3 linked regions of the Caenorhabditis elegans genome follow. The protein of the gene in region 3 purifies or fractionates together with the protein of the main gene of each other region. This does not show direct contact. Each region holds a gene or a part of one and is shown on either strand. Other genes may lie near its edges. The genes, in order: F49E10.4, nhr-112 and ZK228.3.

Region 1 (3,755 bases), on a different chromosome or scaffold from region 3:
TCTGAGAATATCAGTGTGTATTTCTGAAAAGGTTAAATATACTAGTTGGAAATGGTTATTGAAATCATCATATCACTTTACATATTTTGGGCAACCGCTTGTAATTGCTTGTAATGGCAAATTTCTTTATCCAGCTATTGTCAACTGAAGTTTAAAGTGAAAGTCATATGTCCGCTTATTATAATTACTTTTTGAGAATGTGAATAATTGTGGTTTTATTTTAATGTATAGGAAAATAAGAAAAAAAATCTCATTGTGTTTATCTAGTTAATATCAAATTTTTATAAATAAAATTTTGATTAGTTTTTTGAATAAGATTGTTTATAATATTTTTTATTTAATGACATTTTGAGTTTGAAAAATGTGCAATTTTTTTAAATGAACATTATAAAGAAACTTACTTCAATATCTATAGAAATATGATTTTAAAATGTAAATATGTAAATATGATTTTAAAAATATCAAAAAAGTAAGATAAGAATATTAAACATTTTATCATGCCCTCAGCCTAAAAAACGTTTTCTGCTTTCATTTCTATTCTTGTATTTTTCTAAGAAAAGCGAGAACAAACAGATATCAGTGGGGGTGTGGAGGGTAATTCAATTAAAACCAACATCAAGAAAGCTTCTTTCAACCAAGAAATACTCATATTCATACCCCCGCTCAACACCACTGACCTCGTTCCGCTCAACACCACTGACCTCGTTGAAATTACTATCGAAAGGACAAAACGTGTGGGGGGGGGGGGGGGGGGGGGGGGGGCTGTAGTAGACTCAAAAGAAAAATCGAAACACGCGTACAACACAATAACTTTTCTTCCCATTTCTCACTATTTCTATTTCTGCTTCCGTTGACTGCTTGATCCTATCCCGCGCCATTCAGCAACACCTTCAACGGGGGCACCTTTTGTTGTGTGAGAATTTCGCGTCCGATTTGATTTCTAGTCAAAACGGACAAAAGACGTAGTAAACGAGAATACAAAGTGTACAAGGTCCTGCCATGTAACACGTGTCAGTACGCCAGTACGGATGGCGCCCCGCCTTTTTTTTGCTTCCACCATCCTTTTTGCCGCCTTCATCAACCATTTTTTCCTCTCTCCCTCCGTACGGCAGCGCCTCCTCTCTGTGTGTGTGTCCATGTTGCAGTCATTTGCCTGCCAAGCTTCTGGCTTCCCAGACGCAACAATACAAACAAATCCTGACAGGCGCGACGACGGGCAGCCTCAGCTACAGTATCTCATTATTGGCACCTCTAATTGCCGTATCAAGTTTCAAAAAACGCGCGTCTCCCCGCTTTCAAGGGGAACGCAAAATTGTCGACGACATGTTTATCCGGCTGCTGCCGGCCAACCATTTTCTCACAGCCACCGGATATTCTGAGATGCTTCTTTTTTTGTTGTTGTCGTTAGATGTACAGTGCCATTCCGCATATCATTGATGTTAGGATCATCTAGCATCTACCAGAATTTTTCCTTTCTCTGAATTCTAAAAAACTGATGGTCTTATATGAGGTAGTATTTGGTGTATCACATATGTAATGTCATATTTTATTAGCTCTGCATACCTCACTCATTTTAAAAACTCTGCTCCAACCCTTTCCGAGAAACTAATTCTGGAGCACAGATAAAATCTGCAAAACTTTGTTTATATTCTTTCTGAAGTACTGCCTTCCATTCACGCATCTTTTCCCAATTCTTCCCGTTTTCACCGTTGGTGAAAGTCATAGTTCTTCAGATGACCACCACTTACGAATTGTCTGTATAATTATGGTGAAGTAGAGAATACGCCGTTCTCCTCTAGGTGAGAAAATATATATCCTATTATTTTCTCTTCCAGTTCAAGCATCCTTTACAGTAATCCCTTTGTAAGTATGTTGATATCATTCACACATTTGATGTTCTCTTTTCCCTTTCCACCATCACTTGAGAAGTAATTAATTGCATTTTTTTTCTTGCACACACTTGAGCGGTCTCCTTTTTCATTGTCTGTTGTTTTTTGTTGCTTTTTTTGTTCGCGATTCATCAATGTGCCGCTCTTTTTCAACGTCATTTTTCACACACTTGTTCCAAAAAACCTAACAATGAAAACAATAGAAAGGGAGCTGCAAACCAAATTCTTTATGCATGGCGCACAAAACCAGCAAATCAGCTGGATGGAGTTTTAAACCACCACGACAGGAACTTAATTTGATTCAATACACTTGCCAAGTGGAACCGCTAGATGTCCAGCTCTTGAATCATCTGCGAGAGCAAGTAAGTAGAAAAACCTGAATAATCAGGAAGAGAATCTTTTCATGAAGTTTATTTGACATTCAATTCCTAATCACCTAATCAAATTAACCCTAGCTGATCATCACTTTTTGATCATTTGCTCGGCGGGCACTACTATCCCGGTGCGTGCGAAATAATCAGTAATGCAAACTCAGTCGCACGCAAGCTTACGTCGGTGTCGGAACGAACGGCTTAGATGTATTTCACAGGTTCAAAGCAGCACGTCACTATACTTGCAGGCACAGAACACCGATGACTTGTCCGTTCTTTTCAACATTTTGCCACCGGTTGAACAACTCGTCTCGGAGATTCCGTACACATTGCCACTGCTGGAAGCGATTTATTTGAAATGTGAATTGGTGAGGGAGTCAGTAATAAAAATTTAACTTGGGAGTCGCATTATGCATATTTGTACGAATTCAGTTTTTAAATAAAAACCTAATACTTCAAATGCTTAGACTTAAAAAAATTTTCGGTCAAATTTTTTGTGAACAATATTGGTGCCAATTTGTCAAAAGCAAAAAATTGAACTTTTTGTGAAATTTCAGGCGTTGCTGTAGGTTTGAATCCTTTGAATGATTTATTTCAATCAATCAAAACACAATTATATTTTAAAACTCGTAGGAAATTTATTTTTGGTAGATTACCAATATTATAATTGGTAAAAAGTGAGATTTCGCCACATTTTGACTGTTCATAAAAATTTCAAAAGTGTATTTAAAAGCTTAACCAAGCATTTGGACATTTAAGCACAACATGAGCAGCTTTTAACAATATCAACAGTCTGACTAATAAGGAAAACTTGGTACATTTAGAAATTATACAATGTCTGCAATAAACATTTCATGTACCAAATTTCAGCGAACGGTGGAAGATGGGCTAATTCTGCCGACAAAGGAATTGTGTTGTGAGCAACTATTCTGCCAATTGGTCTGGTGGACAGCATTCTGTGAGCAAAGCAATTCATCACTTAAAAAACACTGTGCCATGTTTGCAGTAAGCTTTCTCGTCATTTTTCGTCCTAACGAAATGTGTTTCGGATTCTCCTTTTGAATGTTTTTTTTTGTTTAAAATGCAAATAGTTGTTCGTGTTCGCGAGCGCTTTTTCCAGAAAACAGCAGCAAAAACACGTCGCGTAAGACTGCGCAAAATGCATTTTTGCTATTTTTCACGGCGGAATTGCTCACTTGTCGAGGAGCCGAGAGAAGATAATCAAATAACGTTTTTGTGACGGCGTATGCATCCTCCCAACAAAAATGAACATGGAAAAATATTAGAATAGGGTTCGTTTCAGGAGTTTCAACCATGTATTGCCACTTTGATGTCGATTGTCGGAAGGCAGTGTCCCGATTTGGTGAAAAGAGCTCGCGAAGATAGAAATCAGTTGAAAACATGTTTAGAGAGTCTAGGATGCCACGGGCTTGTTAATTGCTCGTCAGGATTAATTAGGTTCGTTTTTTCTTGTGATGGAAAACAGGATGTATAA
Region 2 (3,755 bases), 1.7 Mb from region 3:
CACCTGTGGAAAATTTCTAAATTTTTTTAAATCTCAGACTCTTTTGTACTAGTTTATGGTATTAATTGTTTTTTTTTTTCGTTTTTTTTCTTCATATTTTAAATTAGAATTTGAAAAAGTATTTTTCAAAAAACTTGACTGGAAATTCAGAACTGATTTTTATTCAAATACTTTTAAAGTAATGCTAATTTTTGTTTTTTTGAATACTTTCCGGGAATTAAATTTTTAACTGGAAATTCAAATTTTAGGGTTTCAAAAAATCTGGCCAGAAATTAAAATTATTATTTCCAAAAAGTTTTTGCCTGTACATTCAAATTTAGATTTATCAAAAAAAAAACCATTGGCGGGAAATTCGATTCTTTTCAAAAAAAATGTATGAAGTTCATATTTAAAAATTTTTCGAAAAAAATTTTTGTACGAAACTCAACTTTTAATTTTCCAGAACATTTCGGCTGGAAATTCAATTTTTTTTTCTAAAAATTTTCGCGAAATTTTCATTTTTATTTTATTTTAACTTTCTGCAGAATTTCAAATTAAACACTGTTTCCAGAAGGTTTTAGCAGAAAGTTAAAAAAAATAATTTTTCCAAAATACTAACAAAATAAAATTAAAATTGTTCAATATTTTTGAACTTCAATATTTCAAAATTTCGGCGGTAAATTCAATTTTCAATTATCAGAAAATTCTGTATTATTTTGCAAAATTCTAGAAAATTCTAAAAGTATCCTAAAGTGTTTCAGAATGTTCTGAAATTTTTTAAATGTCCATACTCACACTTATTTTTTGTCAATTTTGCACGCCACCAGCAACCTCTTGTCGTTTTTCCTGCAAAAGTACCTGCGGTATTTTTTCACCTTTTTCATAGATAAAAACGGTTTAAAAGTGCACCACTTTTTTCTAAAATTACTATGTTCCTTTTTATATTGATTGCTTTATTTGATTATGTGTATGTGTTCTATTGGTATTTCATTTCTTACACGATTAACTAATCGTATCAAAATAAATAAATAAATAAATACATTTTTGAATGATTAATTTCATTCCTCAATTTCGTAATATTGCATTGCACGGTGACCATTAAAACACAAGTGCAACTAAACAAATAACGACAAAAAAAGCACCGAAAATGCACTGACTCATCATGCCCCGACAGACGACACGTTGGCAACGCATTTGTAGACTTTTAAATTGGACGGGGAGTCGTACATTCATTTGATCTTTTGTTCTACATTTTTGCGGGATGTAAATATTTCGTGTTTTGCGCGGTCTTTGTCATTTTGCGGCTGCATTGTTCAGAGATCGTTGCAAATATTTCTTATGTGATTTTGTAGACCGAAAATTAAAAAAAAAACTGTTGCTATAGAACAATTAATTAGGAAGGGCATACCTACCGTATTTTTACTATTAAGTATGAACTCATTACCGCCGAAACCGGGCATTTACAAATTTTTTCGTAAAAATCTGAAATCAGCGTCGGATTCAGCATCCTAAAAATCCTATGGAACTACAATTTCGGTCAAAACCATCAAAAATTGGGAGAAAAATGGCTTACAATTAAAAAATCGAATTTTTTTCTTGTTTCCTCCGAATTTTTGAACTATCTAGATGAGATTGAAGTAACATTTTTTCTTACGCTGAATCCGATATAAATATTAGTTTTCCACAAAAAATTCAGACATGTCCTAAAATTCTAGAACGAATGAGGGATCCCGCATACCGGCCGGCCTTTGCCATCACAGCTCGAGGAGCTTGTGCAGTTTGTTGTAAAATCAAAGGCTTGGTGTTAGCACTGCTTAGTGCGATTGGTGTAATTTATCAACGTCCGACACTTTCGGAGTTCCGCGCCACACTATACAGAGGACGCCGGCTCCTAAACCCAAGCCCTGCGTTTGTCCCACAAGTCCCTTGAGATAAGCGGGTGATATGTCCTCGATCAATGTCGGCTGCGCATTTACTATAAGATCTTTAAAGACTCGTTGCTCAGAATTATGCTAACATTGGCAAATATTCCTTGTTTTGCTCAACGATCTCTTCTCTGAGATGCATTTGCAATCCTAATCCGATCAACTTTCAGAGCACTTCTCTCTCAAAATGTGCAAAATCTGCGGATCTTCAGAATCTGAGCCCCACTTTGGCGGGACTTCATGTCGGTGAGAGACTTTTCCCGTAAGCCCAAAAACTAGTCAGAATTTTTCAGAGCCTGCGCTGCATTTTTCCGCAGATTCTATCACTCGAAAAAGCTCGGCTTAAAATGTACATGTAAAACCAGGCAGTCAAATGCTCATCCGTGCCGAAGTTGCAGGATCCGAAAGTGTTATGAAGCTGGGATGACGCCGGAGAGTAGGTTTTGAAGATTTATAGTTATGCTTTAGTTTTTTAACTACTCGAATTTCAGAGATCCAACTAACCAGGGACAAGCATTTGAACAGAACTATAAAACTGGAAGGCCCATGCTCCTCGTTAGATGTAGGATTTAAAGCTTAAAAGCGGCCCGAAGAATGTACTTATTTTTAGACTCCGATAACTTCCCGCCAAACACCAAACTTATATTGTGTTCTATCAAACTGGCACGAGTTGAAAATGACTAGAGAAGAAATGAACAGTGGATCTCTCAATAATTGCAATATTTTCGAACTCACTAGTTTTGTGCTAAGAGATCTTGAATTGACGTGGCGGATGGTTAGCAAGGCCTTCCCAACTGTAGAAGTACTTGAGGACAGGGATAGAGTAGGTTTGACTTTGAAGTTCTTCGCTCTAAAAACTGGAATTCCAGCAAGCTCTGTTACGGAACTTTGTGCCAAAATTATGGCAGATTGAGCCAATCCTCGAGTACCGGGAGTGTGCTGAAAAGTTCGATAATCTGGAGGAAGAGGATTATGAAAATTTGCTGGTTGGGTTTTATGGTGGAACATTTCCAGAAGGGAAGGAAATGTCTAAATCTGAAATTGTTAGGTAAACCTTCAAAAAATGTCGGCCATTAAATGCGAAAAGTTTCCAGTAACTTCCGGCCATACTGGGATTACTACTACACAAAAATGATTCTTCCGATTTCGTCAATGGGGCTCGAAGAGCTTGAATATATGGCTATCGTTTGGCTGGCGTTCTTTGATAATGGTAAGGAAAAAATCGGAAAGTTATGAAGGTTCTGAAAATGATCGGAACGTTCTGAAAATCGCTAGAGGTGTAAAAACAACTTTGGGATTAGCCAACGGATTTTCTGGATGGTTTTATAAATGTCTAAAAAAATTCTGAAAAGATCTAGGAACTTCTGGAAAGACTTGGGAAGTTCCAGAGGCTTCTGGACACTTGTACAAATTTCTGGAAAGTTTACAACTCATGTAAAAAGTTCTTAAAACTTTTGAATTTCTCTGAAAATTTCTGGCATGCTTAGAAAAATTGAAAAAAAAAACTGATTTTTGGAAATTTTTGAGAAACGACTTCTAATTGTTCAAAATAAGTGTTAAAAAATAAATCAAAATTCATATTTCCTCAACTAGGATAACTTTAAAAATTTCCAGGCTACTCAAACATATCTGACAATTGCCTCGAAATGTGTAGGGATATCCAGAAAGTGATACTCAAGGAGTTGCGAAACTATCAAATCGATAGGAACTTTCATGAAAATCGTTTTTTCGTTGCCTTAGAGGCTTTGCAAATCATTGAAAGAGGAGAGAAGAAATTCATGGAGGAGATGTTGGTGTGCGAGATGAATCATATCCGGATACATGATGATTTCAGAAAGATTATCAGAGAAC
Region 3 (3,755 bases):
AAAATTCTAAAACTTAAAAAAAAAAAAAAAAAAAATTAAAAAAAAAAAATTTTTAGAGTCCCGCCAGGAAAAGTCTTGGGGTACTGTAATTTTTCATGATTTGTTTCAAAATGTTTTTGAATTTAGTTTAGAAATGTATTTTGTACAATTTGTATGTCAATTTAGCTTATAGATTGTATTTTGAGCAATGTTATAGTTTTTGAAATAATAATAATATATAACAATGTTATAGTTTTTGAAAAAAAAGAGTTTTGGAAAAATTTATAAAATTTTTCTAAAAAATTTTGAAGTCCCGCCAGGAAAAGTCTTGGGGTACTGTAGTTTTTGATGGTTTTACTAATATTTTTTTAGACTAATGTTAATTAATGTATGTTTTGCAAACTGTATTAAAAATTAGCTTAATTGCTATATTTCAAAGGAAGTTATGAATTTTTGAAGATAACAAAAAAATTTCCTTAAAATTTTTTTGGATTTTTTTCCGAAAATTCAACAAATTCTGGGGCTCATTTTTTCCAGATTCATTTTAAATATTTTCTGCCCGAAACTCACTCTAGTATAAACCTGATCCTGTTGAAACCAGTTTCTCATGAGTTTCTTGCGATTTCGGGTGCAAATTGTTAGGTCATAGGCTTCTAGCTGAGCTTCACCCACCTCTTTCCAGTCCTGAAAACTTGTTAATTTTAGAATTAGAGCCCTATTGGGTTAAAATTTGAATTGAGCAGATTTTTCTGATCAGTTTGAGTATAACTGTGATGACAATTTTGAAAATTCGAAAAATTAAAGAAAAAAATTAAATGAAAATTTTTTTGAAAAAATTTTTCCAAATTTTTAAAACTTTTTTTTCAATTTTTTGGTTTTTTAATTACCCAAACAATTACGTTCTTACTCAATTTTCATACCTTTGTAACATATTTCTCCGTCAAATCCGCTGAAATTCTCATTTTTCCCGGCTCAATTTCTGCTTCCATATGCCAAAACGGGAGCATTTCCTTGAATCCAAAAGTGGTGGCGTACTTTTCAGACATGTCCACTGCTGAAAATCTATATGAATGTAAGAGGAAACTGTGAAAATCAGAAAATTAGAAAAGTTTTAAAAAATTCGAAAAAAAAAAAAAAAAAAAATATCAAGATTTTTTTTCCAAAAATTAACAAAATTATACTCATTGTGACCGTCTCAATTTTTTGATTTAAAATTTTCAATTAAATAGCTAAAATTGACCCACCAGCTGTCAGAACGCAATTTCCGTCCCCCACAATACCCATCATCGCCTTGAAAACCGGCAATCCGTGTCCTTTCCCACGATATTCTTCCTTACAGTAATACAGACCAATTGAGTAGAGTGAAGCCTCATTTTCAGCATCCCACCGTGCCAAACACCCGCCAGCAACAAAGTTTTCATGGGGTTCTGAAAAAATTTTTGGGGAAATTTCAAGTTTTCCGCAGTTTCCTAGTTTAAAATTGGTGTTATCCTATTACTCTCACCGAAAAAAAATATTTTGCCCGTAGTGGGGGTCGAACCCATGACCCTTACACTGTAGCCATTCATGTTAGCCACTGCGCCAGCGCAGACAGCTAGAGTGTCTCGTTTCTCTGCGCTCTCTCGAAATTTCAAAATTATCAGAAATACGTCATGATTATACTTAAAATTACCGGGAAAACCTGCTGAATTGGAATTTTATAGTTGAAAATCAAAATGGCGAGAAATAAAAAATTTCCAATTTTTTTAAATTTTTTAAAATTTGTTATGTTTTTAAACTCACTTTTCTCCTTATCAACAACTGCAATAAACCAATATTCATCAAAATTTTCCGAATAAAATCGATAATCATATGGTTGATGAGCCCAGCCATTGAGCTCCCCAGATAAGTTGATAAGTTGGTCGAAAACTTGTTGCGGTGGGTTTATTACTAATTCCATTGTGGTGAAAATTCTGAAATATTATAAAAAGTGATACGAAATATGAGAAAAAAAAACGAAAAAAAGATGTTAGAAAATTTTCAATTTTTTTTTATTTTCGAAAAATTCAAAAATTTGTATTCTAATTTTTGCAAAAAATTTAAAATTTCAAAATAAATGAAAAAACAAATAAAAATCGTTGAAAACTACAAAAAAGTGATCATTAGACTCAATTTGCCCTTATCAGTCTCACAATCAGAAAAAAAAAATCATCGAAAAGATCTAATACAATGATAAGATTTTATGTGATCGGTGACCTTTGACCAACTGATAAAAAATGCTATAGACAGAAGAAACATAGAAAAAGTAAAAAAAAATTGCGGGAAAAAAGTGCAAAGATTCAGTGATGATATTTTGAACTTTACACACTATTGCAATGATCAGAGAGATTGTGCAATTTTTCGTGATTTTCATTTTATCAGTGATGCAATGTGCCTTTTTCTCATAGAAATCTCATTATTATACCTTACAAAAATTACTTTAATATCCCTACTTATCACGGAGATATAGGAGTTTTAAGTTTGCGGGCTCAAATTTGAAAGTTTTGGAAAAATGGGTCGCGTTAGCTCAGGTGGGTAGAGGGATGGCGTCGGGGCAGAGGTCCGGGGTTCGAGTCCCCGGTGGGGTATTTAATTTTTGTTAGGAGCTGCGAGTTTATTCAACAAAAAAGTTTTGATCAGAAGTTGGAAATTTAGGTATTTTTCACCAAAAAATTCTGAACATGAGCAAATAATTTGCTCCAATGTTTCCAGATCAGAAAATCAACCCAAATTTCAGATTCTCCATGAAATTTTAATGCTTAAACACCCAGCATACCACTAGTTTTCTCAAATTTAAAAATGGGTCGAAGTGGCTCAGGTGGGTAGAGGGATGACTATGGGGAAATGGGTCCGGGGTTCGAGTCCCCGAGAGGTAAATAGTTTTTGTTCGGTTTTTTTTTTGAACTTGTTTAGTGTAAAATTTCGGAAAATTCTAGATAGTTTTGTTTTTTTTTGAAATTTTATTTTTTATTTTTCAACCTTTTCAGTATTAGCTACTTTTTTTTCACTTTGGGCTTAATTTATCAGTTCAAACACTAAGGTTTCGCTAAGATTACCCAATTTTCGATCACTATTGCACAATATTATCACACTCTCATCGGATATAAAGTCATTCGATTTCCAAACTTTTTTAGCAGTTTTTCCAATTTTTCTCGTGCTTTTTTCTACAATAAAGTGACGGTATAAAAATCAAATCACTAATTTTCTTATCATTAGTGATAATAAGGGGAAATTCATTGAAACAATTGCCATTTTGGTCGGGGGGAAAATGATGAAATTTTCAGTTTTTTTGCGATAAAAGCTACGAGTGTAGTAGTTTTATGCACATTATTGGCAATTATTGAAATTTTAAGAATTATTGATTTTTTTTTCAAAATTTCAAAAAATCGTTTTTTTTTTCGAAAATTCCTAAAATAGTCAATTTTCATCCGTTTTTGCTCATTTTTTCTGTATTTTTCATCATTATTTTTTCTAATTTTCAGTTTTTTCCACTAGTTTTTTATAATGGAGTTAGTGATAAACCCACCGCAACAAGTTTTCGACCAGCTCATCGACTTGGCCGCAGAAACTAACGGCTGGGCTCATCAAGCGTATGATTATCGATTTTATTCTACGAGTTATGATGGATATTGGTTTGTTACGGTTATTGATAAAGAAAAGGGTAAAGTTTAAATAAGAATTTGGAATTTTGTAAAAAAAAATTTTTTTTGGGAATTTTGAAAAAAAATTGTTTTTTTCAAAAAATCGAAAATTTTAAA

The links.
Region 1: the proteins of ZK228.3 (region 3) and F49E10.4 fractionate together in Caenorhabditis elegans (co-fractionation; one large-scale study listed by BioGRID). This does not show direct contact.
Region 2: the proteins of ZK228.3 (region 3) and nhr-112 fractionate together in Caenorhabditis elegans (co-fractionation; one large-scale study listed by BioGRID). This does not show direct contact.

What each region holds. Positions count from the first base shown.
Region 1 is NC_003284.9:5,873,776-5,877,530, forward strand, and holds the start of F49E10.4 (Mitochondria-eating protein), read left to right. Parts: upstream 1-2,091; 5' UTR 2,092-2,122; coding exon 2,123-2,251; intron 2,252-2,320; exon of another isoform or gene 2,321-2,448; intron 2,449-2,508; coding exon 2,509-2,628; intron 2,629-3,130; coding exon 3,131-3,265; intron 3,266-3,563; coding exon 3,564-3,718; intron 3,719-3,755.
Region 2 is NC_003283.11:16,722,164-16,725,918, reverse strand, and holds the start of nhr-112 (Nuclear receptor domain-containing protein), read left to right. Parts: upstream 1-2,074; 5' UTR 2,075-2,091; coding exon 2,092-2,150; intron 2,151-2,197; coding exon 2,198-2,340; intron 2,341-2,395; coding exon 2,396-2,466; intron 2,467-2,514; coding exon 2,515-2,727; intron 2,728-2,773; coding exon 2,774-2,952; intron 2,953-2,998; coding exon 2,999-3,114; intron 3,115-3,518; coding exon 3,519-3,755.
Region 3 is NC_003283.11:18,459,314-18,463,068, forward strand, and holds the start of ZK228.3 (YitH/HolE acetyltransferase (GNAT) domain-containing protein), read right to left. Parts: upstream 1,938-3,755; 5' UTR 1,919-1,937; coding exon 1,762-1,918; intron 1,407-1,761; coding exon 1,224-1,406; intron 1,034-1,223; coding exon 900-1,033; intron 664-899; coding exon 550-663; intron 1-549. Other genes in the region: ZK228.4 (N-acetyltransferase domain-containing protein), read left to right, coding at 3,502-3,658.